2 linked regions of the Rattus norvegicus genome follow. The protein of the gene in region 1 interacts with the protein of each later gene in a biochemical or structural test. Links are inferred from orthologs where the notes say so. Each region holds a gene or a part of one and is shown on either strand. Other genes may lie near its edges. The genes, in order: Cacna1a and Cacnb4.

Evidence for each region.
Region 2: the proteins of Cacna1a (region 1) and Cacnb4 form a complex in vitro, tested with the Homo sapiens proteins (2 studies listed by BioGRID). The link is inferred for Rattus norvegicus from reciprocal best matches to the Homo sapiens genes CACNA1A and CACNB4.

What each region holds. Positions count from the first base shown.
Region 1 is NC_086037.1:40,499,916-40,515,308, forward strand, and holds part of Cacna1a (voltage-dependent P/Q-type calcium channel subunit alpha-1A), read right to left. Parts: intron 15,367-15,393; coding exon 15,235-15,366; intron 14,910-15,234; coding exon 14,837-14,909; intron 11,355-14,836; coding exon 11,237-11,354; intron 11,110-11,236; coding exon 11,042-11,109; intron 7,697-11,041; coding exon 7,590-7,696; intron 5,800-7,589; coding exon 5,125-5,799; intron 373-5,124; coding exon 1-372.
Region 2 is NC_086021.1:57,568,179-57,584,338, reverse strand, and holds the start of Cacnb4 (voltage-dependent L-type calcium channel subunit beta-4), read left to right. Parts: upstream 1-6,067; 5' UTR 6,068-6,317; coding exon 6,318-6,377; intron 6,378-6,426; exon of another isoform or gene 6,427-6,605; coding exon of another isoform or gene 6,606-6,614; intron 6,615-6,811; coding exon 6,812-6,895; intron 6,896-16,160. UniProt on the Homo sapiens protein: The beta subunit of voltage-dependent calcium channels contributes to the function of the calcium channel by increasing peak calcium current, shifting the voltage dependencies of activation and inactivation, modulating G protein inhibition and controlling the alpha-1 subunit membrane targeting.

The sequences.
Region 1 (15,393 bases):
GTCTTTGCTGAGTTGGGCTGGGTGCTGCTGGGGTTGGTGACGATAAGGCTGTTCTCGGGAGTCTTGGGGGGGCCGGGGTTGGACGGGTTGCCCGGGTTGTTGGGCGTCCTGCGGCTGGCAGCATTCTGGGGATTGGTGGCCAAGGCGGGACCAGGGTTGGTGCTGTTCCCGATCTTGGCAGGGCTAGGGGGAAGGCCACTGTGGCCCAGGCTGTCGTGGGGACTGGCAGGCTCCCCGGTGGCCAACTTGTTGTTCTTCATGTTGTCCAGGTCCTCAGCCAGTGGCAGGTCCTGGCGGCCCAGATCCTGCTGGATTGGCCTGGTGGTGGACAGGTTGGGACCAGACATGGGGACCCCAGAGCCCTGGCTCTCTCTAAAAGGATCAAAGTGGAAGAGTATTAGGGTCAGTAGGGCGGCCGAAACCCACCCAGGGCTGCAGCACAGTGCAGGAACGGCATGCTGCGTTACTCAGCTCTACTACCCTCGAGGCTCCAAGTTTTACCTGCCCTGAAAAGAAAGGAAAAATAACTACTGACTCTACACTTCACAGAGTGCTGCACTGCTCCAGGCAGGCCAAGCGGTTATGAGATAAAAGGGAGCACCTTCTGTGAACTGGTGAGGACCCCGGCAGAATTCTAACACTGAGCCACACACACCTGCTCTCCTAACTGGGGATTCTAGCTCACACCCCTGCTACTACTGGGGATGTTTTTGCTGGCCCAATATGCAAAGCTCAATCATAAATTTCCAGTTAATCTATCTATCTATCAATCTAGTTTCTCTGTGTAGCCCTGACTATCCTGGAACTTGCTCTGTACACCAGGCTAGCCTCTAACACAGAGATCTGCCTGCCCCTGCCTCATAAGCATTAGGACCAAAGGCCTGCACCATCACCACTGGGCTTGGTTTGTTGTTGTTGTTGTTTGTTTTTTTGTTTTTGTTTTTGTCTTTTGGGACAGAGTCTTACAATATAGCTTCAAGTGTCCTAGAACTCATTATGTAGATCAGGCTAGCCCCAGACTCACAGAGATCCAACTGCCTATGCCTTCCAAGTGCTGGGATAAAAGGTGTGTGAAACCACACACCCAGTACACATTCCAGTTAATTTTAATCCTTAAGTGTCTTCAAGAAAGATTCAAAAGATACAGAAACCTGAATTTGGGCCCTGTCCCATAGCACCCAGGAGAGGTGACTGGTTGTATTAAGCTTGTCTCATGCAGGGTCCCACTTCCAGCCCCCAATGGATTTCTCTCTTGGAGTGTACTCAGTTGAGACCCAGGGGACTGTCCTAGACTATTTGGCGGCGACCATAAGAGTAGCCCCCTTCACTGCACACTTTCTGTACCCTTAAGACTTCGTGCAGTAACAAAGCACCTGAGACTGAAAACAGGATCAACTCCATTCAACAGGACAGGAAACTGAGGCAGAGAAGAGGACATTTGTCCTATGTGAACCAGTTTGGATGGGGCTGAACTGGAATTTGGTCTTCTCTAGAAAGCTTTAACTTCAGCATCACTCAGCAAAGGAAACGAGCAGTGAACAACTTGGGGTGCATGGGATGGAGGTGTTGAGCAATGTGTGAGGGGCCATGTGTTAAAGGCTCACAGTTCTCTGCGACACAGGCAAAGTAAGTAAGCCAGGAAGCTGTGAACTGCAGCAACCCTCTCCATGTACCAGTGGGGAGTGATTGCCATGGTGACAGATGCAGATGGACCTAGGCTGCACAGTTGGTGCGAATGGTCCTCAGACTGGCAGATGCTTGGCAGCTCACAAGTCTGTACCAGGACTCGGGGCATGTGCCTCACTTTGGCCACCTTGGGTATCACCAGGTTCAGCTGCCCTGCATAGGGGAACCGGTGCCTAGCAACCTGTGCACGGTGCAGGAGTAGTGTTCTGGAGATCCATGTTTTAAAGGGGAAGAGAGAGGGGAGTGTGGAAATGGGACTGGGGATGACACTGCCAACATCCCAGACAATGAAACACACGGGGGATGAAATACGTGTGGCCAGAGCATAACCCCACGGGGAGGGAAAAGAAAGGCAGGAGCTCACGGGAGCTCCCAGCTCTCTGAAATAGAATCAAAACGATCCTCAAAACAGAATCTTTTCAACAGCACTTTACTCTGTAGTCCAGGCTGGCTCCAAACTTGTAGCAATCCTCCTGCCTCAGCTTCCTGGGCGCAGGTTTCTAGGCATGCGCCACTGTGTCCAGCTCTAAGGCTTTTGATGTCTTTCAAGGAGAGACTTCGGTATTGTTAATATGGTCTGTGTACACTTACTGAGTCCTCACACGATGCTAAAACACTTGATAAAGTCTTTTTGTTATTTTTGAGACAAGCTCTCTCTATGTAGCTCTGGCTGTCCTGGAACTCACTATGAAGAGCAGACTGATCTCAAACTTAGAGATCCCCTTGCCTCTGCCTCCTGAGTGCTGGGAGTATGCCTGGACAGTTGATAAACTCTTACTATAATTCACCGTTTCACATTACAGATTCTGTATCCATGGACTGAACTGATTATAGACTGAATAATTTTTTTTTCTTTTTTGGAGCTGGGGACCGAACCCAGGGCCTTGCGCTTGCTAGGCAAGCGCTCTACTGCTGAGCTAAATCCCCAGCCTGGATAATGTTTTAAGACTATTTTTATTTTACGTCTATCTCTTAGGGCATGTATGTATGTCTGTGTGACAGTGGGTGCCTGGTATCCCAGGGGACCATGAGAGAGCTTCAGGTTCCCTGGAACGGGAGGTACAGAAGGTTGTGAGTCACCATGTGGGTGCTGGGAACTGAACCTGAGTTTCCTGTGCACGCAGGAAGTGCTCAAGTACTGAGCCTCTCCCCAGCCCCAAGACTGAAACGATTAAAACCAACCAACAAATAAATTGCATTGGCCCCAAATGTATAGACCGTCCCCTTTTGTCTCTTTCCTAACAAATACAGAGCATCTAGCTAGGCAGTGGTGGAGCACTCTGGAGGCAGGGGCAGGTGGAACTCTGAGTTTGAGGCCTACAGGGAAACCGGTGTCAGAAAAGACAAAAAACAAAAAAACCCAACAAACCCGTAACAAAACCAACAAAAACTCCAACAACAACAACAACAACCACAGACCCCAGAATGTACCATGGTCTTACCCAGTGCTGGTCCCTGCAGACTACAGTGGTGTGCTCCCTGGAGCAACAGTTGCATTAATGTGGGGATAACCAACTGCTTACTGATTTGAGGGCTGTTCCACAGGAAGGAACTCAGACCTGGTACTGTGAACCCAGTGGGTGCCACAGGCCGTAGTGGGGAGCCCACGGTTATTAGTGGGTTAAATGTCCACTACTTTTTAAATATTTGTTTAGGCAAAGAGTGACACAGAGTGATACTGATCAGACTCTGCACTGCTTCAGGCACTCCGAGCCACCCGGGCATGGTCTGGAGCCCAGAGGGCCTCAGGATGACCCCTAAAGACATCCAAGGATGGCTGAACTTAGGGCTGCTACTAATCCCACCCACGCTAACATTTACTGAGTACTTGCTGCTGGCTTGGCATCGCTCAACACAGTTAATATGTAGTCATTCACTCAAACCTGTACGTTTTAGTCTATCGTTCGCCCTATTTGCAGATGAATAAATTAAGGACCAGAGAGGTACAGGGACAGTCTAAAAGTCACACAGCTAGATAGTGATAGGCAGGAGTATTTCAGCACCAGGTTCTGCTCACGGTGTGACTGACATTCAACGTTTAGAGACTTTCAAAAACTCCAACCACTCTGTAAGGGCCCTCATTGCCTGTGCTTACTGGCTGGATTTCACAGCCTGGGCTAAAATACAGCTGACATGACCAGACCCCGTTTAAGCTCTCACTGGTTGAGAATCCCACTACTCAGTGTGTGGTCCCAGAAGCTGCACTGCTCAGCTCTTGTTAGGAACAGATTCTCATGGCTGCCCTCATGTCCTGCCCAGTCACAAGCTGTGCTGCCTAGGCCTGACACCTCAGATCCCACACAGCGGAAGGAGAAAGCTGACTCTTGCAGATTGAACGAATGCCCCTCTCCCATAGGCCTAGGTCAGGTTTTGTACATACTGAAAAAAAAAAACAAACCAAAACAAACAACAACAACAACAACAACAACAACAACAAAAACTCTGGGATGATACACTCATAACAATACAAAGGTATATCAAGGGATCGTATAATTAATAATAATAATAATAATATAATAATAATTTGAAGGCAGGTTCTCATTGTAGCCAGGATGGTCTTAAACTTGCTATGTAGCCAAGGGTGGCCCTTAATTCCAGATCCTCCTGTCCCCTCCCAAGTACTAGGATCATGGGAGTGACGCCACACTAGGCTTGAGAACAGTATTTTGTAACAGGGAGATAGACGACTCTATCGACAAAGAAGTCCCTGGGCCTCTCTGTGGAGAGTCGCTCCAGGGTCTTCCATGAAGCACTGCAAAATGTAACGAAAAGAGTAAGAGAAAGCCACTACTGGTGCTGTTACGGAAGACACCTCGGTGCAGAGTGGCTTTTCAGACCTCCCCAGTGACACCATCGAGTAGGCAAAGGACCAGCAAGATGGCAGCTGCAGGTGCTGAATCTCGAGTGCTTTTTAGCACCAGTGCCCACGAGAGCCTTGGCGGAGTTTACTTTTTTAACTCCAGCAATGATTCCACCATTTTGGGGGGTCCAATATACAGGTGAGAACACTGAGGCCAAGGAGTGCATTAACTGAAGAGAAAGCAGCAGGTAAAGAAAGCTATACGAAGCTGATGGAGACGCCAGGCTTTTCCTAGCGTACGCGTAAGACACACAATTCGTTAGTCCTATAGCCCAGACTTTTAAAGTATGTAATGTTGGGATGGGATGTAGTTCAGTGGTAGAGGGCCAACCTAGAATCCCCCAGTGAGGGGCTGGCTCTGTTGTAGAATCTTGTTTAGAAAATGAGGCCCTACATCCATCCCGGCAGTGAATTGCATTTGTTTCCCTATCTGTTAATCAGGACTATGGCTACTGGGTACATCCCCATGACTTCCGGTATGCTTGGTTTGGTGACTGTCACCCTAGCTACGGAGAACTCGGTCTGGAGTGAGCTGGAGGTCCATCTGGGAACCCAGTTCCCTCCCGGAGCCCACTCACTTTCTGCGCCGGTGTCTGCGCTCCCTGTCATCGTGGGCCGGCGGCCCGTGTCGGTGTCGCCGCTTGCGCTCCCCATCATCGCCTTCGCCGTCTGCAGCGCGGGCCGGCCTAGTGGCGTCGCGGGGACGCGGCCTGCGCTCCGGTCTGTCGTCCGGTTCGTCCCCGGGCCGGCGGCGCGCGCGGTGGCGACGAGGCTCGCCCTCGGCCACAGGCCGGTGCGTGTGGCGGCGGGGCGCGTCCCCGGCCTTGGCGCGCTCAGGATCCGCGTCCCAGGGTACGTGCTCGCGGGGTGGCGCGTGCTCGCGCTGTTGCGGCTCGCTCTCGCGGCCATACGGGCCCTCTCGTCCAGGGGCGCGCTCAGGGCTGCTGGGCCAGGCGCGCCGCGCGTCGGGGTCGCGCGCGCTCTCGCGGGGCCGCGCGGTTTGGCGCAGCGCTTCTGGCGCACGGCTCTTGTTGGTGTTGTTGTTACGGTTCTCCTGCGGGTCCACCACGAGCGGCCGGTCCAAGTGCGTCTTCACGTCCGGCCGCAGCGGGCGCGCGTAAGTGGTGGGCCAGCGCTCAGCCGCGTCCCCGTACAGCGCCTCGCGGCTAGCCAGCAGGTTCTGCTTGCGCATCTCGCTGGTGCGCTGCTCCCACACCGACTTGGCAGGCTTCTGGTTCTTCTGCTGTTCCTTCCTGCAAGGCAAGGAAGGGAGGTTGTTTGCAGTGTCATGGGTGTGATGGTGGTCAGATAACGAGGGCTGCGACTACTCCCTCCCCCCATCCCCCAACTCCAGTGGGTACTTTCAACTTTTATAACTTTGATGTATGTGTTTGCATGTGGCCGCCGCAACTTTGTGAATGTCAGAGGGCAACTATCTGCAGTCGGTTCTCTCCTCTCACTACGTAAGAGCCTGAATTCAGGTTGTACAGCTTGGTGTCACAAGTCTTTACCCACGGAGTCATATTACCAGCCCTTTCTCTTGGACTGCAGTGTAGGGCAGTTTCACACCTCTGCTTCCCCACTGCTACGAGGACAGGTGTGCGACTGGTCCATTGTTGGGCTTATAGATACAAGGACTTATGCGAAGTGGCAGGAACTTTAGGAGGCGGGTTCTACTTGGAGGAAGTTAGGTGATGGAGAACCTGCCTCTGAAGGGCATATTGGGCCCTTGGCACCTTCCTTCGTCTCTCTGTTTCTCCAGCACCTTGTGCTGAGCGGTTTGGGTTATCGTTAAGATATCCTGACTCACTACAGGCTCCCATTGTCTCGCTAGCAGAGCCCCAGCCTAGATTCTACCGGTGAGGGACTGGGTATGTGGCTCAGTGATGGAGGCCTTGCCTGCCTACCACAAATGAATCCCGGTGCCAGAATGAATGAATGAATGAACAAACCAACAAATGAAGAAGCAGATGATTTAAATGGCAGCACATGAAGTCATGTCTGATCCTTTTCTTTTGGGCTGTGTGCGGCTGGAGTGTACAGGTGGGAGTCATGGGCGTCCCTGGAGGAAAGCAGTTGGCTGCGCATGCCCTTTGGGTAGTACTGGCCCATCGGGAAGCCTACTGTGCCATAGCCACGCCCCTTGGCCACTGCCTCTGATTCACTGGCGAAGTATCTGCTCTTCCCTTAGAATCAGGGGACTCACTTCTGCCACCTCCTTGGCTTTCTGTAGAGCCAGTTTCTGATTGGCTGCCTCTTCCTCTTCTGGTTCACTCTTGAATCCAGCTGCACCCATGACCCTGCCCAGTTCTCTTCTTTTTTGCCTGGGCTAGCCCAGGTTCCTGAGTCTGACCTTCAAGTACATATAAGATCCCAGCCCCCACAGTCTACTACCACGAGAATCACCAGAGGGCATCTGAGTCTGGTCTTGACACTCCACTGCTCAAGAACTCTCTCTGGCTGTAACTTAATCGGGGGCAACAACTCTTGGAGCCAACTCTGCCTCCTCACCCTCTTTTTCCGTGCCGCACTAGTCTCTTTCCTATTCCTGAAACTCCCTTGCCTCAGAGCCTTGCCTCCTCTCTCATGCATTCGAGTTTTGCTTCCTTTTAGGCAAGGCCTTTCCTAACAAGTTTGTTTTCTGGAGGCAGGATCTCATTATCCCTAGTCTGGACCTGTTGGGTCTGGAACTCCCACAGATCTGCCTGTCTCTGTCTCCAGAGTGGGTCGAGTGCCTGGTGCAGGTTTCATGCTCCTCAGCTCCCTACCCCTTCCTGGCTGCTTCCTGGAGGTTCCATGGGGTATAATTTACTTACTTGTCTTGCTTACTATTCATCCTTTCTCTGATTTGAACAGCTATACAAAAGTGCCCCTCCCAGTCATGAATGCTGCCTTCCCGGCAGTCAGGACAGGACCAGGCGCATAGTAGGTGTTCACTAAATACTCACGGAGAGAAAGGGGGCGAGAGGCTCAGCAGTTAGGGGCCACCCTAACTCTCCCCACATCCTTGCCTGGGTGGCAACCAAGGCTTGGGGCTACTTACACAGCTATGGACATGTTGGCTGCAGACAGGGGACTCACTTCTGCCACCTCCTTGGCTTTCTGTAGAGCCAGTTTCTGATTGGCTGCCTCTTCCTCTTCTTGTTCATCCTAGAAGGCAAGTGGGATTCTTGTTCACAAGAACGGGCCTGGCGGGGAGGAGGCGGGGTGTCCACCTCGCTGCCAGCCAGGGGCAAACATGAGGTACTGAGAAGTTAAGCTCAGCCTGGACCTTCACCAATTAGAACCAAGGTCCCCAGTCAGGCTGGGTGGTGAAGTATACTGCCATTCCCTTGTGGCCAGGTTGGCTCGACAGCTCACTAACCTTTGTAGTCCAAGCTGGTTTGGAACTTGAGATGGTCTCAGCCCAGCCTCCCCAGTGCTGGAATAACAGGCACATAAGAGCATGCCTGGCTCCCCCACCTCTGTTCCCCCAACTTTGTTTCAGGTTTGTGCCAGCTGGAACAGAGCTCTGTCACTGAACTGCACCCCCAGTCCCGTGTCTGTAGGTGTTCTGTGCTTTCAAATTGTTTACGTGCTCAGAATCTGTCCCCTTAGACACTGGGCAGCCCCAGTGGCAGAGCCACTGTACCACACTGTCGACAGCCCATAGGCAGTCTGGGATCTATAAGGTCTATCCTCAGCCCCAACTGTGGGAAGACCAGGAGAGAGGGGTGGGCTTATGGGCTTCATGGCCTAGATGGTTGGGAACTTGAAGTCATTTAGCTATGTCTCAGAAAAGCCCTCAATTGCCCAGTGTGGTGGTGCAGGTGGCGAATTAGCCCCTAATCCTAATACTCAGGAGGCAGAGGCAGGCAGTTCTCTGTGAATTTGAGGCTAGCCTGGTCTACATAGTGAGTTCCAGGCCAGCTAGAACTACAAAGTAAAACTCTGTCTTAATTAAAAAAAAAAGAAATGAAAGAAAGAAAAACTCATCATTGGGGGTTGGGGATTTAGCTCAGCGGTAGAGCGCTTGCCTAGCAAGCACAAGGCCCTGGGTTCGGTCCCCAGCTCCGAAAAAAAAAAGAAAAAAAAAAAAAAGAAAGGTTTAAAACTCATCATTGGGAAAACAAAGAAAAAATGAGGGAACAGAAAAAAACAAACCCAGCAATAAGGAGCAATGGGGGTCTTTGTAGGGTGACTGCCCCCATTTTCTCAGCTCTCCTGGCACAGAAGTAACCTGCACCTTAAACACTGTCAGTGACAAGGAGACAGGGCTCCCTGATGCCGGGCACTGTGTCTGGCATCTTTCAGAACCAGGTCGTTGGGACATTGGCCTCAGCAACACTGGAAACGCAGGTTTCTAGGCCCCTGGCAGCACCTCAGACCTAGGGTTGCCTCCGGAATCTGCATTTTCTACAGGCTGCTCGGAGGGTGTGAAGCACATTCCGGTTTGTCTTGTATGCAGTGGAGAAAACCACAAGTTTCAGTCAGCTAGGGTTAAAATCCCAGCATCAACCACTTACTGCTGTGTGACCTACAGTAAGTCTCTCAACTTCTCTGTTCCTCTTCTTCATGACCAAACTTCCAGGACTCCCTGACTCGTCTCACTGCACTATTTCCTTCAGCACCGTCTAACAAACTGGTTTTAAAAATGTGTCTTGATTTCTGGCCTGCCTCTACAACCTGAATCCCTGTCTCCCCAGGGCAGGGACTGTTGTCTGTCTTGTTCACTGTAGCCAGGGCTGTGCTCACTGTATGTACTCATTCCATGATTACAGGATGAGGTATGGTATCTAACCTGGACCTCAGACAAGTCCCTTCCCTCACTTGGGGATTACAGTGGTGTGAATCGTGTGTACCATGGATGAAGGGGAAAGCTGGGGTCTGCAGGGGGATGGCTGCCTTCACTGTGGAGTGTAACTGGCCTGTCTTTCTGTGCCAGCCTCCTGTATCTTGGATGAGCTCCTGGCTGGATCCGCCTGTGGTGACACATGCCAGCCAGATTCATGGTGGCTGCACTCTTGGCTTTGTGCCTGGGGTGGGAGACTTCCGCTTTTCCCTGCTGGAGGTGGGGCCGGGAAATTCTCCCTCCCTCCTGCCAGGGCCAACAGATGGAAGGTTGGCAGTCCCTACCCCTGTAGCCTTCTAGTCTTGGGTTCTGAGGCACTTGGGGACAGCACTGTGAAGCTGGAGCATGGGGAGGGGCTCCAGGGCGATGGTCTCTGTCCCTGACACCTCAAGCTTGTACAAAGTGCAGTTTCTTTATGTTTTCCTCTCCCGGGCAGACACCCATCTCTGAGCACAAAGCCCCCACTCAGCGTCACCCTGTCCTGTTTTCTTTGCATAGTGCATAGGTAACCTGGCTGCTCTGCTTACAGACTGTCGCCACCAGGGGGCGCCAGCTGCTTTGCTGAAAGCAAGGTTACCTCCCCCAGGCCTGACTGACACGGACCTGAGGACAGTTAGGATGCTGGAGGCTGCCCTGAGGGGCGTGTGATGCCAGTTTGCCCACAGATAATTTGGCGTCACTGAGTAGGAATGAAAACCCGGCTTCCTCTCATCCAGTGGCTTTCCTGCCCGAGTCCCCGCCCCATCTCTTCTCCTCTGCCCTTTGTAGGGTTCCATCTTTGCTCCTGTAGTTCCTGGTGTCTGGTACATGCATCTACCCTCCCTGGCCTCAGTTTCCCCACATGTGGAGGGAGGATGTGAGAGTGTGTGTGTGTGTGCGTGTGCGCTGTTTTGAGGGAAGGCAGGTTCTTGCTGTGTAGCACGGGTCTTGAACTTGCAACCATCCTATCTCAGCTCTGTGCTCACAGTCCTGCACCACCACACCCACTGCATGACGCTTTAAGTAGTGGCTGTGGCTGCCAATACCATCTGGCAATAGATTTTGACTTTTCTGACCCTCAGTTTCCCCTTCTCCAAAGGGAGACTAGATTAGATAGAGCCCGGCACCTGAAGCACCACAGTTCCTTACTGTTGTTCCTTGGAAGACCAGCCCGAGGGCATTTCCTCTTGTTTAGTTCCTCAGCACAGGGCCACATGTGGAAGGGACCACAAACCCTCAGGCCCATGCTGTCCTCCCAACCAGGTAACCTCTGTGCATCTTGTCTGTAGCCTCCTATCGACTATCCCATGACATGCTCCGTGTGGAAGTCAGAAGGAGAGCGAAGGGGAGGCATCCCTCGTCACTGTGGCTGAGCCTTGCTAGCTTCAGCTCTGCCAGAGGCCCTACCAAGTCACTCCTTGTGGGTCCTTTGGCTGGTGGCAGTGCCCATTATCCCGGAACTCCTTATTCCTCAAGCCTTTGGGTGCAGCTGAATATCTATTCTCAGTAGCAACTTTACCGTCCTTCCCCTTCTGGGCTACAGACTGTCTTGATCAGGGATGGCTCGGCTCCAGGAGAGGTGCCCAGTGCTCCCATCCCCAGCAAGAGCCCTGACCCAGCCCCCACATTCCTCCAAACCCTGCTGTCATGATCTGCCATGAGCAGGTGGTTACTGTGCCCTCCACCTTGGTGAGTTCCTGGGCGTTGGCCAGGTTGTCCACCGCGATAGCCAAGAACACGTTCAGCAGGGTGTCTGCATGTCGAGTCAGGGAAAGCAGCGGATGGAAACTCACGGCCTGATGGAGCTGACAGAGCCTGGGCATTTGGGTCCCGTCTGCTCCACCCACACCCAGTCTGTCCCTGGCCCCCACGAAGGATACAGTTCCCGAAGAGGGTGAGGACGATGAAGTAGATGGAGAACACCATGCCGCCCTGCACGCCCCCCTGAGACTTGATCCCATCATACATGACCTCATTCCAATCCTCGCCAGTCAGGATCTGAAAGACAGGGACAAACACACAGCCAAGCCCCTCTCAGCCACAACGTCCGCCATGACGGTCAGCCTACCGGAGGCCAGGTCTTCAACCACCCACCTCTGTGCTTGTGGCTGGGGGTACTCAGTCAGGCTGTGGGAAATAGGGGACTTGAGAGTCTCATGGCTCGCTGTTATCCTGTCTTCTCTGCTGTGACACAAGTGTTCACTCTGGACTGAATGGGTCCCTGTCAAGCTCCAAGGCAGAAGCTCAGCTCCAAATGAGTTGTATTTGACAATTTAGCAAGACCCTGTCTCTATCTCTAACAACAAACAACAATTTAAAAAGCAGGGATCCTGGGGATGGAGCTTCGTGGCTGAATCCTTGCCTAGCTCATCATGGTCAGCGGTTATGGGAACTTTGAGAAGTAACTGGGGTGACATGGGGTCATGAGGTTGAAGCCTGTCACCTGCTTAGAGGAGGAGGAGAAAAAGGGGGGAGGAGGGGGGAAGACGAAGGAGGAGGAAGAGGAGGAGGAGGATGAGGAGGAAGAAGAGGAGGAACAGGAGGAGGAGGAGGAACAGGAGGAGGAGGAGGACAGAGGTCTGAAGATGTAGCTCAGCAGATGTAGTGAGTGTAGAGCACTTGTCTAACATGTACAAAGCCAGGACTCTATCCCCAGGACCACCTAAACCAGACATGGTGGCACGCACGCCGTTATACTAGCATGGGGGAGGTGGGTATGAGGATGAATTGAAGGACAGCCTTAGCTATACAGCTAGCATGAGGGTAGCCTGGGCTATATGACTCTCTCTCTCTCTCTCTCTCTCTCTCTCTCTCTCTCTCTCTCTCTCTCTCTCCAGCTAGCATGAGGGTAGCCTGGGCTATATGACTCTCTCTCTCTCTCTCTCTCTCTCTCTCTCTCTCTCTCTCTCTCACACACACACACACACACACACACACACACACACTTCTGAGATGAAGGAGCTAAGATGTTTAGCTCACCCATGGCAGTGCACAAAGGTCACACACTGGCGGGGGACAATTCCTCCATGATGAGCATGGAGAAAACTGAGGGGATCAGGCTTTCTATTCACTTGAGCGCAAGTTTGTGCATGCATGCGTGCGTGCGTGCGCGCGCGTATGTGTGTGTGTGTGTGTGTGTGTGTGTGTCGGTGTAGAGTAGGCCTCACTGTACAGACTGTACTGCTTTGGGCTCTGTGGTGCTGAGCCGAGCAGCCGGGCGGGCACACTGTGTTAGCACTTTGTGCTGTGCCACAGATTCCTGCCCTGGTCAATCATCTAATGTCCTTAAAAAGAAAGTTCTCGTTCTCTCTCTCTCTCTCTCTCTCTCTCTCTCTCTCTCTCTCTCTCTCTCTCTCAGCCATATTTTATTTTTAATTATGTGTATGTGTGTGAGTCTCTGAGGGTTTGTGCACCAGACTGTAGGCGTCCCCAGAGGCTGGAAGAGGGTGTCAGGTCCTTTGGAGCCGGATGTGCAAGGTGGTTGTGAGCCACTGACATGGGTGCTGGGAACTGAACCCAGGCTCTTCGAGCAGTACACACACACACACACACACACACACACACACACACACACACAGAGAGAGAGAGAGAGAGAGAGAGAGAGAGAGAGAGAGAGCGCATAGTGTTAGTGTGAAAATCAGAAGACAATATGTAGGAGTCAGTTCTCCGTCCACCACAGAGCGCCAGAGACAAGACTCAACTTGTCAGGCTTGGGAATAATCACCTTTGCCTACTGAGACATCTCATTGGTCCGTCTGTCCGTCCATCCACTCACCCATCCATCCATCCACCCACCCATCCATCCATCCACCCATCCATCCATCCATCCACCCATGCATCTATAGTCAGGGTGTCACTATGTAGACCAGGCTGGCCTCAAACTCAGAGAGATCCACCTGCGTCTGCTTCCCACGTGCTGGGATTGAAGGTGTATATCACCATCAGCATCTGCCTTCCTATCTTTTAAAATGAAAATAAGAAAATGAAAAAAAACAACAAAAAAAGCCCACCCCAGTTTCTTTTCTTCTATTCATAGTTTCCTGAGGATGAAGGAAATAGGAAAGAAGTCTAGAATGTTCCTCTGCTGTGGTCAGGCTTCTCAGTCTGGCACTGTTGGTCTAGCATGGGTCATTCTCTGGGAGGAGCAACCTGTGCCCTGCCAACTGCTGAACACCCCTGGCCTCTGGTAACCAGATGTCAGTGTTATCTGCCTGCCCCACATAGGTATGACCATTAACAGGGTCTGCAAACCATCAATCGACGGGTCTGCAGACAATCAATCAACAGTCTGTAGATCATCAGCAGGGTCTGCAGACAGTCAGCAGGGTCTGCAGACAGTCAGCAGGGTCTGCAGACACTGTCTCTGTTCTGGGAGGAGCTAGGGCCTGTTAATCATCTGTCCTCTGGTTCTGGGCATTGCTTCCCAGCTGTCCTCTCTCAAGCCAGCCTTGAAGTCTCATTTAGAAACAGCCAGCTTATTAAGAAAAGGAAGGATGGGAGCCATAGTCTCTACATAATTCCATTCTCTTCCAAAGGAAACAAAATCAGTTTGAATACATTAGAGATCTCTGATGGGCCAGTCTCCAAGCCTCAGTGTAGGTACCCCAAGAGGAAGCAAGCCTCCTTGTCCTGGAAACATGTGGAGACTCCTGCTTCAAAGATGGGTAGATGCATCAACCAGGCCTTTCCCCTTTTGCTTTGTCTTGTTTTGGGTGGGGTCTCACAGCCTGGCCTTGAACTGGAGATCCTCTAGTCTCAGTCTTCTGAGTGTTAGGATTATAGGTGTGTGATATTACCCTGGGTTCTCTTTTCTTTTTGGCTTCCCTTCTTCCCTCCGTCCCTCCTTCTCTCCCTCGCCCTTCTGCCTTTCCATCTTTCTTTCAACAGTGTTTCATGTAGCCCAGGCTGGCCACAAACTCATTGTATACTGAAGATGAACCCTTACATCCTCTTGCCCTAACCTCCATGTCCAGTGTGCATCATGCCGTACCTAAGTAGCTGGAGCCCTGCCGACCCTGGAGGGATGGTCTCATCCTGGGGAAGCCAATTCCTGGGAAGAGTTTAGCTATTGTTCTCCTGATGTAGAACAGCTCACCCTGACAGCTCTGTCAGGGTCCTCCGTCCAGTCATTCCAGCACAGGGCGGACAGTCCACTTCACCTGCTCCTTCTCGGGGAAAACCTCAAGCAAGGCTCTTCTGTACCCCAACCGGCTCAGGCACTTTCCTGTGTGGTCCTACATAGCAGCCTCTTCTTGGTGTGCGTGCATTGTGTTTGGCTGTACTTAACGCAGGAATCGGGGCCTCACAATGTATTAAATAAATGCTCTCGCACTGAGCTGCATCTTCAGCAACAGTAAAAGCAAGCATTCCAAAACAGTGGGGAAGGGAAGAGACCGAAGAATTCGGGGATGCTCCTGGGCTGTTGGGAAGCCCCTGTCTAGTATTTAAGGAGCCTGAATCAGGGCCAAGGAAGTTCATACCTGAAACACAGTCATTATTGCTGCTGGAAAAGTGTCGAAGTTGGTGGGAGGAGTCCCCTCGTCAAAATTAAACCTGCAGATAGCAAGGACATTTTATGTTAGCCCTCCTTCTCTGAAGTCCTGGTTCGGTTTCTGGTTTCCATGGTAACATCTAGAGTATCTCTGTTTCCCCGGAAGATACCGTATCTGGCATGCAGGAGCCCACTGCCTTATACAACCATTATCGTCCTGAGGGCAGTCACAAAACGATGATGGTCAGCTCAAAGGGGTCAGGGTGTGTGTGTAGCTGTGTATGTGCATACCTGTGCATGTGTGTGCATCTGTACCTGTGCATGTGTGTGTGGTGGAAGCTGAGAAGGAGCTCGGGGTGAGAACTCCAAGAAGGCAGGAGCACTTACTGGCCACCAAACAGCTGCATCCCCAAGAGGGCAAAGACGACAATGAAGAGGAAGAGGAGGAACAGCAGACTTATGATGGATTTCATGGAGTTGAGGAGGGAGACAACCAGGTTTCTGAGAGATGCCCAGTACCTGCCGACAGAAGCCAAAGTGGGGGTC
Region 2 (16,160 bases), on another chromosome or scaffold:
TGGGATTTTAGTTCTGTTCCATAACCTGGCATTGTTATCGAGGCCACTAACTATGCTTATATAGGTCCTAGGCTTTAAGAGATTACTTAGTTTTGGTACATGGACATAGTTTAAATTACCTCCTTAGTGATTTATTGCTATACCTTTAGATTAGTATATCTTTCAACCTTCATCAAAGAAACTACCTCTTGCAATAGATGATTAGCACAAAGACCCATTGGTTAAGACGGAGAGAGTAAGAGTGCAGGATGCTTAGCTCCAAGAATGTCTATCGATAATACACCCTCCAACCAAGGCTCAGGGTTATTGTGAAAGATCGTAAGAGCCAGAGGCCGTGTGTGACTTAAAACAACAACAATACCCCAGTGTTTTCTGGATACAGCAGGGCAGTGTGACAGCACGCACAAGACCTAGGCGAGCTCCAGCTAATCAAAGTCCAGCCTACAGTGGGGAAATAGCCCAGGAGCTGTTGGCAATTGACCTGTTGGGAGAGAGCTAGTTTCATTTAAGGACATCGCTCTTACTAGGTTAATCAGTTTCAAACCCCACACCTAAGAGCACAGACTGGACTCCTGTGGTTTAGAAAGAAAAAATGAGGAAAAGTTGCATGAGTCGGGAAAGGGAAACAGTCAATCTGGAAGGAGCCAAGGAGGGTTGGACATGACCAAAACACATTGTGCAGAATTCTCAAAGAATCGATAAAATACTTTTAGGGTATTGATTGAATTTTAAACAAAACCCAAATTCCATCACTGAGCAGAAGGTTTTAATTTAAATTTAGCCTCCAAATCAGGGATTTTTTTTAAAAAAAGTTTTTGGATCAGTCATGCTTTAAACTGGTGTATCTAAAAAAACCTCATCAAACCCAGAGCAGGTATATTTTGTGCTAGATGTGCTTTGTCTCCTATTTGCTCTTAGCTCTGTGATATATTTTCAGTTATGTCTTTAAGACCCAGAAAATTAAAAATAATGGCTTAACTGTCATAGAATTCACACACTTTGCAACTCAGTCGTGTAAAGAATGCAATTCAGGACTTCTGTGTTCAAGAAAAAGTCTATGCTGCCCAGGCTGCTCTCGAATTCCTATGCTCAAGTCATCGTCTTGCTTTTGCTTCCTGAGTGTGCCATGGTGCTGAGATAACTCCGTGGCTTTCAGTGTATGTACATGTGTGTAATGTGTAATAGTCACTACATTCATCTTCGTCATATTCAGCTCACCCAAAAAAACAAATCCCGTGGACTCCAGGCATGTGGCTTGGTGAATAAAACAGTTCCTGGACAAGCGTGAGGACCAGAATTGATATTCCTAGCATCCATATAAAAGCAGAGCTCGGAGGCAGAGACGGGATTTCTAGCTCACTAGCCTAGCTGACTCAGTGATCTTTAGGTGCAGCAAGAGACTCTGCCTTAGTAGCTAAGGTGGAGAGAACATCTGAGGAAGACACCCAAGGCAGGCTTCCACACGTACTTGCCTAAGCAGTCTCTAATCTATTTTCTGTGTCTGCAGATTTACTTATTCTGGATATTTCAGAGAAAAGGAATCATACTAATCCGTGATTTTTTTAGGATTTTTTTTTCACTCAGCATATTTTTTAAAGGATTTAAAATTTTATATGTATTGGTGTTTTGACAGCATGCATGTCTGTTCACTGTGTGCGTGTAGTAGAGTGGAGGCCGGGAGAGGACATTGGATCTCCTGGAACCAGTGTTACAGGTGGTTATCGGCCACCGTGTGGGTGCTGGGAACTGAACTTTAAGTCCTCTTAACCATTGAGCCATCTCTCCAGCTCCTTGCCCAATATTATGGTAGGTATTCTAGTCGGTGTAAGGCGGTAGCTGTCTCACATTGTTTTGTGTTATCACTACAGAATATATGAGACTATATAACATATAATGGGAAATGATTGGTTTTTGCATAGTTCTAGAGGTGGAATGCCAAAGGTCAATGTGCCACGACCTAGTGAAGACCTTCTGTGTCGTCACATAGCTGAAGGCAGAAGGGCCATGATACAGCAAATGGAAGCAAATGTAACTATCATCATCATCATCATCATCATCATCATCATCATCATCGTCATCGTCACCACCACCACTACCACCACCACCACCATCATCATCATTATTATCTTTTTTTACAATGGTCTTTATCTCCCTCCTGGTCTACCCTCTGACTGTTCCCATTCCATATCTCCCTCCCATCTCCAGGAGGATGTCCCCACACCACCAGACCTCCCCACTCCCTGGAGTCCCAAGTCTCTCAAGGGTTAGGTGCATCTTCTCTGTCTGAGTCCAGATCCTGCAGTCCTCTGTTGTATGTGTGTCAGGGGCTTCATATCAGCTGGTGTTTGCTGCCTGGATGGTGGCTCAGCATTTGAGAGATCCCAGGGGGTCCAGGTTAGTTGAGACTGCTGGTCTTCCCATGGGGTAGCTGTCCTTCTCAGCTTCTTCCAGCTCTTTCCCAAATCAACCACAGGAGTCACCAGCTTCTATCCATTGGTTGGGTGCACATATCTGCATCTGACTCTTTCAGCCACTTGTTGCGTCTTTCGGAGGGCAGTCATGATAGGCTCCTATTTGTAAGCACACCGTAGCATAGAAAGACAGGGCATCAAGTGGAGGGATGGGGTTTGCCATCCCACAGTCAAAAGTAACTGTTTATAATGGCATCAATTCCACTCTAAGAGTGGAGCCCTTGTGGCAAAAAATTCTCTTAAAGGTCTAATCTGTTAATACTGTTAAGATGTAATAAAATGTCAGCACGTGTTTTAAAATCATAGTTTGTTGCACTTTCCTAATGATGGTTAGTACACACTTTTTTGGTCACTGATGTATAATTTATTTTTATTTTATGTGCATTGGTAATTTGTTTGCATGCATCTCTGTGTGAGAGTATTGGATCCTCAAGTGTTGGAGTTGCAGAAAGTTGTGGGCAGTGGTGGGAATTGAACCAGGGTCCTCTGGAAGAGCATCCAGTGCTCTTAACCACTGAACCATCTTTTATTTTGATGAAGTCCAATATGTTTGTTTTTCTTTTGTCATGTGCTTTGATATCATGTTTAAGAATCCATTCCCGAATCTGAGATCACGAAGATTTACCTTTCTGTTTTAATGATTTTACATTTTTAGCTTTTCATCTAGGTTTCTGATCCATCTTGGGTTTTTTTTTTGTTTGTTTGTTTTGTTTTGTTTTTTTTTTGTTTTGTTTTTTTTATACTGTGAGAGGTAAGAATCCAATGTCATTCTTCCCTGGCGCGAGGGAACAATGATATATTCTCTCCGACTGTCTTAGTTGATATTCTATTGCTGTGAGGAGGCATACTTATAAAACTTATAAAATAGTTTTAAAAAGGCAACTAAGAAAATAAAGCACTTAGAGGCTTGCTTACATTTTCAGAGGTTTTGTCCATGATCAGCATGGTGAGGATCAGGGTGGCATCAATGGGTGCTGGAGTAGTAGCCAAGAACTCACATCTGACCCAAAGGTTGCAGACAGAAAGAGAACAAGAGTTGACCCTTTCTGGGCTTCTGAAATTTCAAAGCCTACCTCCCAGTGACACTCCTCCTCAAACAAAGCCACACCCCCTAATCCTTTCCAAATAGTTCCACTAAGTATGAACCAAAATTCAAATATATGAGCCTATGGGGGTCAGTCTCACCTAAACAACCACTGTGGCATCATTTTAGAAAAGGATAGCTTGCCTCTTCATGAACCCAAAACTAGTTCCATCAGGAACCCTGCACTCTCAACGAGGCTGTAAGCAACATAAAGTTTCCATCACACGAATGGGGTTATCAGAAGGCAGCCTATACTACCCTCCCATGCTCACTCAAAACTTAATTTCAGCAACAGGTAGTTGGGGAAGAATAGCAGTATCTTTCCCAGGAAAGTACCCCCCCCCCAAAAAAAAACCCTGGGAGCTTCAGATGAGGGGGAGCCTTGTGTTACCTGCATGGGGTGGAGTTTCCCTCTCTGATCAGAACGGGAGCAATCAGGAAGCTTGGCTGAAATGCCACAGACTCACACTTTTCTTCCTGGGGTTCTGTAGATTTTCTTATGCGTCTTTTTGCATCGAGGTGTGCCTGTTACGCCCATTGCTAGAAGTGTATTCGTACTTCTCACTGCCCTTGTTGAGAGGCAGATGCACAGAACAATTCATGCTGTCTTCCTGGTGTGGATTCCGGTTTGATTATTCAGTGCAACTGGGCAAGGAGAAGCCAGAGCCTACGCAAACCATTTAGTCTGTGTGTATTGATGAAGTGTCAACTAAAAAAAGGCTTCCAAACTAAGACCAGAATGAGATGACAGCAACTAATGGGGGTGCTGGAGGTGAGGGCTGTCTACATCAGTGGAGGGATCCATTACCCAGGAACTTCATAGGGGTTTCTACTACACGGAAACTACACAGATACCGAGCTAATTTGGAAATTAGATTTTCACAAAAGCAAGAATTAATATAGTAAGACAGCCTGTGGCAAATATCTAGAGAATGAATGCTCCAGTTTTTCAGGCACAGGACAATCCAGGACTGCAAGGGTCAGGGAGGATCTTCTTCTCTGTGGAGAAAGAGTGAGCTGAGCAGGATTTCAGAATGCTGGGTGCTGTCTAGATGGTGTGGACGGCAGATGCCAAGGACGCATTCTAGAGCTATGATGCTGAAGCAGACTGCAGGTCAGGAAAGAGCAGTAAATGGATCTCCCTGCTCTGGGTTTGCAAAGAGAAATCAATCTGGAGGGAGGAGTTTTGGAGTGTGGGTATGTCTAAAGCAAGCAAGAAGCCTAGATTTCGGATCACAAGAATTTGGGCTTTACCTCAGAAAACAAGTTGAGGAAAAGTGGTTTTAGAGAAATGGCTTTGCCTGTGTGTAGATGGTCTCTCTCTCTCCCTCTCTCTCTCTCTCTCTCTCTCTCTCTCTCTCTCTCTCTCTCTCTCTCTCTCTCTCTCTCTGTGTGTGTGTGTGTGTGTGCCTGTGCACGAGTGCACGAGTGCCAGAGGGAACTTGGAGGCAAGACTAGTTTTAGGACCCAAAGTTTAGACGAAGTGAAAGGGTCTGTAAGGAAAGTATGTAATAGATGGGAAAATAAACGTGGTGCTTGTTTTAATAAGTAAAATGCCAGAACACAGGGTGAGGGGGGCTGATGTAGTAATTTTATGTCTATTTTAACGAGGCATCGCTGCAACCGTAACTATAGTTAGAATTTTTTCTTAATTCACATATTTCCCACCTCTTTTTATTACTTCAAATTTCTTCCTTCTAGGATTCCCTGGCCTTCAATTGATCTCAAATACAGCATGTGTTTGTAACCAGAAAGCTAGCTTGTGTATGGCTTTAGGATGAGTTTCTTCTCCTGGAAACAGCTATACAAATGAGAGGCACGTGGTCAACTCCTGCTTTTTAGCAGGTTTGATGTGACCTTCAAAACTCCTTAGGACAGGCTGGTCTCGGTGGGGCTGCATCTCCAGTCAAACTGGCTGGCAGGCTCTCCCACGCCTGCCTAGGTGTGTGTAACTTGTATCTCCGAGGGTAGAGTTGCCCAAACAACAACAAACAAAAACAAAAGAAAAAACCCACTAATAAAAAGTAAACACACACACACACACACACACACACACACACACACACACACACACACACACACACACGCCAACAACCTAGTGCCTTACCACCATGGGATGATGAGGAAAGTCTCCGAAGGAGGAGTCAGTCTTGTCCTTTTCAAATTCGAGTGCTGGGACGGACGGACACACACACACACACACACACACACACACACACACACACACACACACACACACACACACACACACACGTTCCGCTCTGCCCACACACACACACACACACACACACACACACACACACACACACACACACAAACACGTTCCGCTCTGCCCACTCCCTGCAACACTGCACCAGCTTCCCTCCCCAAGTCCTGATTCATGAACCGTGCCACCTTTGTCTCATTTTAAACTGTGCAGACTATTTTAATCCTCCCACCCCCATCTCAGATTTTCCCCTCCCTCCATCCTCTGGAAAGCTGTGCTGTAGAGCGCTCGCGGGGTGGGGAGAGCACTTCTCCCCAAGGCTCGGGGAGGCGAGAACCGAGAAGCCCCCTCGCCTGGACTTCCCTGAGGGCGCGCGAGGGGGGAGGGGAGCGCTTCGGCCCCTTTAAGGTGCGGCGCTCGGCGAAGTGCGGGCAGGCGGCCCGCGAGCCGGCGCGGGGCCAGGAGCCGGGTAGGGAAGTCCTGCCTCCCCCTCCGCCCGCACCGGCCCGCGCCCTCCGCCCACCGCGCCGCGAGGGCCATGCGGCGCCTCTGAACCATGTCGTCCTCCTACGCCAAGAACGGGGCGGCGGACGGGCCGCACTCCCCCAGCTCGCAGGTACCGCCCCCTCCTCCACCCGCGCCGCCCCGCGCCCCGCCTTGGTGCCGCGAGTGCGGGGCGCTGGTCCCGAGCCGCCGCTCCCTCCTCCGCGCCTCCCGCCCGCTCCTCCCCCTCCTCCTCCCCTCCTCCTAGCCTGCTCCCGGGCTCAGCGCTCGGGCTTCAGTGTCCGCAGCCTCCTGTCGCCGATGCCGGGGACTCAGACCCCGCACCCGCGACGCTTTGTTAATGGATGTGGTGGGTGCTCGGGACCACCCAGCTCGGGGTGAGGGGATGGGGGTGGGGGCGCTGGGAGGCGCCGGGGAGACTAGGACGAGGGGTTCTGGGGGTCCCCGGGGCGCGGTTCCCAAGGAGGACTCCAGCCCCGGATGCCCGCTCAGCTCAGCGCTGCGGTCCTCACTGGCTTCTTTGTGGCCCCGGTGTGTCGAGTTCAGGTGGCCCGAGGCACCACGACCCGGAGGAGCAGGTTGAAAAGATCCGATGGCAGCACCACTTCCACCAGCTTCATCCTCAGACAGGTAGGAGGTCCGGGCGCCGGGAGCCCGCATCCAGCGCGGTCCCCTGCCCGGGAGCGCGAGTCCGGTCCGCGCCGGTCGGGGATCGGTCCTCGTCCCTCTGCTCCCTGCTCCCCGGTCCTGGGGTCCAGCCTCCCCTACCTCTGCTTCCAACTCCTTCCCTCTCCCGGTTCCCTGGCTACCCAGTGTTCGCATCCCTACATCTTTCTGTCGCTCCGGGAAGTTAGTTTGTATTTGTGTACTTGTGTTGGAGAGGAAAAGGGACGCTGGCCGGGGACACTCCATTTAGGAGCTAGAAGTGTTCCTGGCCCACCTTCGTTGCACGGAGGGACGTGAGCGACCTGGTTTGATGCGCTGTGAGAGTTAGAGGATTTCTCCAACCTTTGTCCTATTTTGAATACTTTCACATTTTTGAGAGAGTTCTCTGAGTTCTGGCCAAAAGAGAGACACTTGGAACAGAAAAGTTTAGTCTCGTTTTGGCACCGTTTCATCGATTTCGCGTAATCACGGACTGACGGGGACAGCGGGCTAGTGAGACCTAAATAAGACAGCGCGGGCGCAGTTCCCAGGGTCTGGCTGCCCTGAACCTCGCGCTGGCTTTCCCGTGTTTTCCTCGTGGCCAGAGAGGCAAGTAGTTCGAACCACAGGTCGCTAGCAATGCGCAGTCCTCTGCTGCCTGTCACCTTGAGGAAAGAAATCGACCCTTTGTTTTTGCACTACCCAGTGCCTCTGGAGCTGGATGCTGGAGAAGGAATACAGAAGCGGCTCACCTTGATCCTTCTCTGGAGTGTGCTCCTTCCTGGAGACTTAGGAAGACTTTGGTCAATACCCCAAGAAGCTTTTATCCCAGGTTCTGTCATGGAGCGACCTTGAGAAACACTTTTCTCTCTAGGTCACCCAGAACCTAGTGTCCTGTGATTCCAACTTACTATGGCAGCCGCGGTGGTTTTTTTTTTTTTTTTTAATAATTAGTTTAAGCATATTTTCAAAGTAGAACACGATTTAGACTCAAAATTGGACTCTGACAGCGCTTAAAAGGTCTATAAAGCATATTTGGGTAATATTTCCACGAACATTTGTACTTCCTGCAGAAATAGAAATTATGGCTACCGTTCTGTAGCTCAGTGTGGTGTGCTCCAAGCCGGTACAGTATTTAAACACATTTGATTCTGCATTCAGTTTGAAAGAACATCCCACCCTCTTTGTAGAGCGGGGGTTATTTGTGTATTTGATAAGGGGAAGCCATTGCTCAGCTTAAAATATTTTTTTGAGTTATGCAACGCTGAGCTCTTTATGTTTATCTCGTAGATGCTTATTTTTGGTAGGGCTTTCTTGTTGCAGATTCTTGGAACTACTAATTATGCACTAACGCATTCAGTGAGTGGTTTGACTAATACTTTTGAATTTACACTATCATTGGACTAGTTTACATTCGGAGCCCAAACAAAGCAATGTCCTTTCGAATATTTTTCCTAATTTCCTAATCAGTGAATGATTGAAACTACAAACACACACACACACACACACACACACACACACACACACACGTTGTAGAGTGGGCTGCTGTGTGTACGCTTAACAGAGAAAAATATTGCAATGGCAATTTTGGGAGCTACTTGGACCAGCGAAGGTTTTGAGAATAAATATAGTTCATAAATATTTTTGAGGGTGGGCATACTGATTTCATAAAACGGTCCAAATTCAGGAATTAATTGTAACAAACAATTTTCTTAATTTTGGCACAGAAACAATATCTATTTTGGGGGAGAACTTCATAGCACAGTAAACTCCTGCAATCTAATTTAAACAGCATTGTACAGACCTCTTTAAATTATATACATATATATATACATATATATATATATAAGCATAACACCCTGATAGAACCCTTTAAAGAGTGACAGTAATTTATTAATATTTAAATACTTTAAAAATTAAAATTATCTTAATTGATTGATATTCTGTGTGTGTGTGTCTGTGTGTGTGTGTGTGTCGCTACTGTGTGTTTGTGGAGGTCAGAGGACAACTCATAGACTTGCTTCTCTCCGTCCCCCTGTGAGCCCAGGGAACGGAGCTCAAGTTGTCAAGATGTCAGCAAGTGCATTTGCCATCTCTCCAGCTTTTGAATTCCTGATACTAGAAGGGATGGGATTTCCTGGTGGTGTTTCGCATTTATTTTGCTTTACTACGGGAGAGAGTAAGGAGACCAATTAGATCAGTCAGTTCTCCATGGCTGAGATAAAATACTGAGAAAATCAACTTATAGGAGAAAAGATTTATTTTTGCTTCATGGCTGTGGTCACTTGACTATGCCTGTGATGAGACAGAAAGTCACGACAAAGAGAGGTGGCAGGGAGGGCTGCTGACTTCATGCAGCTGGAGCAGAAAGATGGATCTGGGAACAGAAGCAGAGGCCTGGAGGTAATATAAACCCTCCAAGGGCATGACCTCAAAGATCCACTTCCTCCAGCTACACCACACCTCCTACAATTTCCACCACCTTCAGAAGCCCCAATCAGCTACGAGTTCATCAATGGACTAACCCACTCACCAGATTAGAGCCCTTGCCATCCAAGCACTTTTGAAGAGAGGTTGCCTGGTCCTATGCAGCTTGGTCCTGGAAACCTGACTGGGAATGAAGGAATGACAGACAGTGAGGAGATGACAGGGACACATGCAGAAAAGCTAGGATTGGATGAGCTCTGCTCACCCTGATAGAGGTCACTTCCAACACTGCCCAAAGGATTATGTTTGGCACAAAGAAGTGGTCTTAGCTAGTCTTCTGAGGTGTGTGGAGGGGGGCAGTGTCAGGCTGTGAACACCAGGACCAGCGAGATGTGGTTGATAGTTTCTACATACGTGGGTCTATTGCTACTAAACACTCTGTCATGGACCGAGGAGAGGCTTTGCCATCCCTAAGCGTCACCTGGGCTTTGTCATTTCCCCTGTCTGCTACATTGCTGGCACCTACAATTTAGGAGAGATGAGGGTTTGGAACGAATCCAGAGCACCACTAAATGGCATCTCTGAGGAAAGGTAAGAAGACACAGTTTGCTACTGACAGGAGAGAAAGGAAGAGGTAATCCAGAAATGGCTTAACCACGATCTTCCAAAGAGTGCATAGTCTGAGGGCGTCTTCCGGCCACACCCCAGATGAAATCCAAGAGCTGGTTGAGTTGGAGGGGAATGATGCCTTCCAGTAAGAACTTCAGTGAGTGCTGCTGTCGTGGGGAGGGCTTTCCTCCCCAGGAGGTCTCTGATAGGCCATTTATGGAACAAACATGTATTGTGGCTCACATCTTGGAGAAGTTAGCATTTGCTTTGTAGCCAGCTCTGTTGGACATTGTGGGAGAAGAGTGAAGAGGCTTAGATCTTGTATGCAAAGGTTTGGTTGTTGAGTTGTGGAGACCAATGGGTGACAAGCAGGCATGCATGGCAACCAGGGAGTGTGTGCACTGAGGGTTACAGTGCTGGGGTCTCGCAGCACCTGTGTCACGAACGGCAGAGTGTTAAGTTAGTCCTCGTCGCACTTGAGTTAGTTAGCTTTCTTCGTATTGAGTAACTTTTATGAATCCCTTTAAAGGGTCTGGCCTCCACCCAGTAACAGCATCATCCCCAGCTCTAATCTCTTATGTCTGGATTCAGAGCTTAAAATGAGACATCTTTCTGCCACAGGCCCTTTGCACATGCTGACCACCCATGTGGAATACGTTACTTTTCTCTTTGCCTATTGGTTCTCGATACTCCTCGAGATCTGAGAGTTTCGATTTTGTGGAGGTATATTTTTTAATACTCTCTCTCTCTCTCTCTCTCTCTCTCTCTCTCTCTCTCTGTAGCACAGGCTAGCCTCAAAGTTATGATAATCCTCCTGCCTCAGCTTAGGAATTCGCCTTATTTCCTTTCTTAAACTCCCTGACTAGATCAGTTTTCTAAGTAGGTCCTTTTAGAACAGAGTACCTGTGCTCATTTTTTAGTCGCATGTCTCCATTGCAGTTCAAGATGGATTTAGGTCTCTCTTACTGTCTATCCCCTGACCGACCTGAGTATCGGGAGGGCGAAGGAATGTCTGCGCTTTATCTTTGCTCCTTGGCACCAAGCCTTGTTCCTTTGCAATGCCTGCCCATTTGAATGAAGGGAGAGAATGGGTTTGGGGATGAATTTCTGTTGCAAGGAAGAAATTATTCCCTAACAAACCTACCCGGAAATTCCGTAGCTTAAAACGATTTCTTTCTGCGCACTGACCAGACAGCTCTTCTGCTTATGGGATGTTACGTGGGCACAGGGATGGCGGGGAGGTCCAAAATAGCCTCGCACATGTGGTTGGCAGTCAGTGCAGGCTACTGGCTGAGAGCTCTGCCGGGGCTTTTGGCAGGGCGCTCGGTTTTCCTCCATCTGTGGCGTGCGTGGCTCTTTGGACCTTTTGGTGATATGGTGACTGTAGTCTAAGCTGGACCACCCCAAGGAGCGAAGAGGGCATCGGCAGCTGCCCTAGACTTCAGTTCAAGTGCAATACACCACTTCCTTTGTATTGCATGACGTCAAATAGACTTAAAGAGCCTACCCCATTTCAAGGAGAGAAAAGGGAAAGTATCTCTGTGTGTGTATGTACGGATGTATATGAGTGTGTGTTCATGTGTGTGTGTGTGTGTGTGTGTGTGTGTGTGTGTGCGCGTGCGTGTGTGCGTGCGTGTGCGTGTGCGTGAGCGTGCGCATGTGTGTGTGTGTGTGTGCGTGAGCGTGCGCATGTGTGTGTGCGTGAGCGTGCGCATGTGTGCGTGCGTGTGCATGTGCGCGTGCGCGAGCGTGTGCGAGCATGTGTGTGCGCGCGCGTGTGTGTGTGGTCAGCAATGACCCTAAAGTATTGTTCTCCAGCAGCCATCTAACTTGCATTTTGCATCAAGGCCTCAGTAGGATGAGGGATTTAGTTGCTGATTAGGCTAGAAAGGCTGGCCAGCCTCAGGATCTATCCAGTTCTGCATCCCCCACTCCCCAGAAGGTATCTAAAAAACAAAAACAAGCAAACCAACAATGTCTCCCAAACTTTAAGAAACACGTTTAGTGTGGCGTGCTCTCAGGTGCACGTCACAGCACACATGCCAACATCAGAGAGCAAGCTGAAGGAATTAGCCCCTCCTTCTACCCTGTGGGGCCCGGGCTTGAAATCAGGTCGTGAGGATTGACAGCAAGTGCGTTTCTCGGGGGCTGAGCGTATTTACTCATGTTTTAACGTTTATATGAACGCTACTGTGCCTGCTTGCCTCTATGTACACCATGAGCGTGCAGGGTCCTTCAGAGGCTAGAAGGCATCAGATCCCTGAGGCTGGAATTACAGGCAATGGCGAGTTTCCTGATTTGGGTGTTGGAAACCCAATCCTGACCCCTCTGAAAACAGGAGGAAGTGGCCTTAATGGCCGAGTCATCTCTCCAGCCCAGGAGTGTTTTTGATGAAGTGAAAAGGTCAATTTCCATGGGAGAAAAAAGAAATGGGTAAAACCAAACTAAACTCAGCATTAATATCATATTACAAAATAAGTTAAAATTATTCTATTTATGTGGCAAAATAAAGGATAAATGTTCCATGTATACAAAGAAGTATTTAATTTTATTTTCTAAAAAATATTTGCACTCGCGAGTGCGCGAGCGCGCGTGTGCGTGTGCATGTGTGTGTGTGTGTGTGTGAGCTTGCACATGCATGTGTGAACGTGCACGTGAGCCTTGGTGGACTTGTGGAGGTCAAGGGACAACCTAGTGGAACTGTTTCTCTTCTTGATGTGTTTTCTGGGGTTTGAACTCCAGTCATGGGGCTTTAGTAGTAAGCCCTTTATCTCCTGGGCCATCTCAGGGGTCCTGTTTGGTGAATTTTAAGCATGCTCTCACTTAAGGATGGAGGGAACTTGGTGTAGTGGTGATGTGTACCTGAAGTCCTAGCTACTGAAGAGGCTGAAGCAGGCAAATCTCTTGAGCCTCAGAGTTTGGAGCCGGCTTGGATAACAAAGTGAGACTTGGATCTAAAACAAAACAACAAGAAACAAAAATCAAAACAAACAAAACAGAAAGAGGTGCCACAGGCATAATGGCATAATGAAAATTATCTACTAAGCCCTCAAAACAGGCGTTATATTGCACTGAGACTCTGAAATAAATATATATGTATGTATACATTTATATACATTTAAGCATTTATTCAAAGTACACCGAAGTGAAAAGGTAAGTCATAGAATAAAATAATGACATCACATTTAGAAATAAGAGCTCGTGGGACAGAAGACAGGAGTTGCTGCTGTCTGTGGAAACCTCGTGTTTTTTTTGAGGTATGCTAATCAGATGATCCTTACAATGATTCAATGAACCCACATTGTATTTAGAGATGGAAAACATATGCAGATTCTGAGTTGATACTATAATAAAACAAGTTGGCAGGGAAATTCTTTGGGTTATAATTTGGGTGCTGGTTACAGACACATTTCTCTGATGAAATGTGAATTCGTCAACAGAAGGTATCTGCTTTGTGCACAGCTCTAAGAATAATCATATGCCTAGAGGCATGTAGATATGCCAAATTTATCCATAAACTCGGAATCACACAGTTTTAGAACAGGAAGAGATTGCAGAAGTAAAACCTTCTGATTTCTTACTTCCAGATAACTAGAACATCGGCCCGGCATAGGACAGAAAGGTCACATTGCTAGAGGTAGAGTGAGGCAGCCTTGGCTCTCTTATTTTCTCCACCAAACACTCTAACCCTCGGTGATGAAGATGGACACAGATTTGTAGGTCATGAAAGGGCATATGGGGTTCGTTCCTCTTTAAACCCAGACTACTCATTTATTTCAGGAGTTTATTTAATTGTTTTACTTTTGAAATAGAGAGTTGCTACGTAGCTCAGGCTGGTTTGGAATGCGCATTCTCCTGTCTGAGCCTCCCAGTGCCATGCTTATAGGTCTGGCCCTGGTTCTAGAAGTGACCTTATTCTGTGTGGATGCTTAGAAGAACAAAGTATCATTTGGAGGGTCTGGAGCCTGTTGCCTGTTTTTTGTTTGTTTGTTTGTTTGTTTGGTTTTTTTTGTGTGTGTTTGTTGGTTTGGATTTGTTTTTTGTTTTTGTTTTTGTTTTATTAATTCTATCATGGATGGTCCTTTTTGCTTGTGTGTTCACAGTTCACAAAGAATTATCTCTTTATCTGTTAACTAGTAAACAGACAAATAATATTATATTAGCCACACTCTTACTACTTGTATTTCCTCCCAACCCCCTTGGACTTGAATATAGGAACACATTTAAACAGATGACAATCCCTTGTTATCAGAAACCCAGAAATTAGCTACAGCATGAAGCCACCTTTGATAGTTTTTTAAAATGACTTTTATTTCACTTTATTTTGTCAATCTAGGTGTTTGTCTATATGCATGCCAGTGTACCACATGCTCCCTGGTACCTGAGGAGGTCAGAGGAGGGCATCAGATCCCCTGGAACAGAAGCTACATATGGTTGTGAGCTGCCATGTGGGTGCTGGGAACGAATCCAAGTCCTCTGCAAGAGTAACTAGTGCTCGTAACAACCGAGCCGTATCTTCAGCCACAAGTTACCCTTACTGTTACTCGAGAAAGCTATGGAGAAAACTGTCAGGTGCTGCACCCAGAGGAATCCAACTGGTAGGAGCAAGAGCCACGTGGAGATGCTGCCTCTGTTAGAGTAGGCACTTGGGGTAGAGAAGAGGAAGAGAAATATCTCTCTTCTCCCTTTTGCCTTCAGGTGGCTGCCTAGGTGGGATCCAGTTGACCCGGGAGCCTGGGAAGCATTCTATAGCCTGGGGTAGGGATGGGAGGAGCTGTGAACCCTGTTTATATTTTAGCTACAGCACAGTAGGCACTGAAGAAGTGTTTTCATCAACAAAGGTGAAAGGTTTTTTTTTTCTCTTCCTTGTGCTGTAAGTGGGTCTTGCTTCCTAAATGGTACAGTCCAGTTGCAGCGAACGTTAAGAAAGCACTCACACCGCCTTTGAGACTGTTCTGTAGGGTGGAGCTTCCCAAACTGCAATCTAATCTAATGAAGCAAGGAAGGGATCGGCTTCTCTCCCAGCAAACCCTGTTTGTATGGAACTGAATGTGTGAAAACAATGATGGGGAGGTCTGATTACAGGGCAGCTGGTCAGTTATCCATTGGTTTACTTGTAAGTCCCCACCCCCGCCCTTTCTTTTCCTATGTTCTTAACACATGTTCCCTAAATTCTGTTTCTGTAGAATAAACGACTATGTGTCTTCCAGTTTAGACTGGTAAGATTTTATTGATATACAGAATAAGGTCTGAATCAAGTGGTAATCTTCCTAGGAAATTAAAGGAAACTGTGTAGAGAGCTAGGCTGAAAATGAAGGGCTTTGTGTGTCTGTCCCCACCTGATCCTGGCTCCTCTGGTTGCCCCTACTGCGCTGTACCTATATATGCTACCCTTCCCTCAGGGGATAAGAAACAAGGGCTGAACCGAGGAGAATGTTCTTTAGTCAGATCACTGGGTAGCTAGGCGTAGAAGGCTCCCCACCCCTGTCTCCTAACTCAGAGATCCGCCCCTGACACCCAGATCATTCAGTCTCCTAGCTGGGGCAACAGGTCTTCCAAGCCTGCCTCCCCTAGAGTTGGCCCTGTCTGGATTTAATTGTCAAACCTCAGACTCAGAAGCAGGTGGGCAGCTTGAGGCTCACTCATTATCACTGGAGGCTAGGAGATGCCTGCTGGTACTTGGGGATGGGGCATGCAGCCCACATTCCAGTCAGTAGAACCCTCCCTGCTGGGCTTTCAAGGATTGTGAATAGTGCAGCCTCTGTTGGCTTGTCCTTTGCCAGAGCTTTCTGCCCAGCTTAAGTGCATGGGCTGAGAAGGAGTATAGACCTCAGAACTACCAGTCCTCTGAGCTGGCCCTTCAGTAGGTGGACCTGGCCCATCTGAGACTCTGGACTCTTCAGACTACTGAACCTGGACTGTTATGCAAATAAAATCATTACGAATGAGAAGACAAAGCTACTTACTCACAGACTCTTGAATGCTTCACCATAGTAGAGAATATCAAACTATCAAGCCCTAAGAAGAGCCATGTTTGTTAGCCCCATAAGAACTTTCTGGTTCAGTTGACATTGTCTTATCTTTCTCAGTTGTATCCTTCACAATAAAGCAGAGTTCTGTGCTCTTCATTCTTGAAGACTGGACATTCTCACAGAGGCTCACCAAGAGTCTGGTCCACAAGGCTTTGACTGTGGGAGGAGAATCCTGTAGGGAG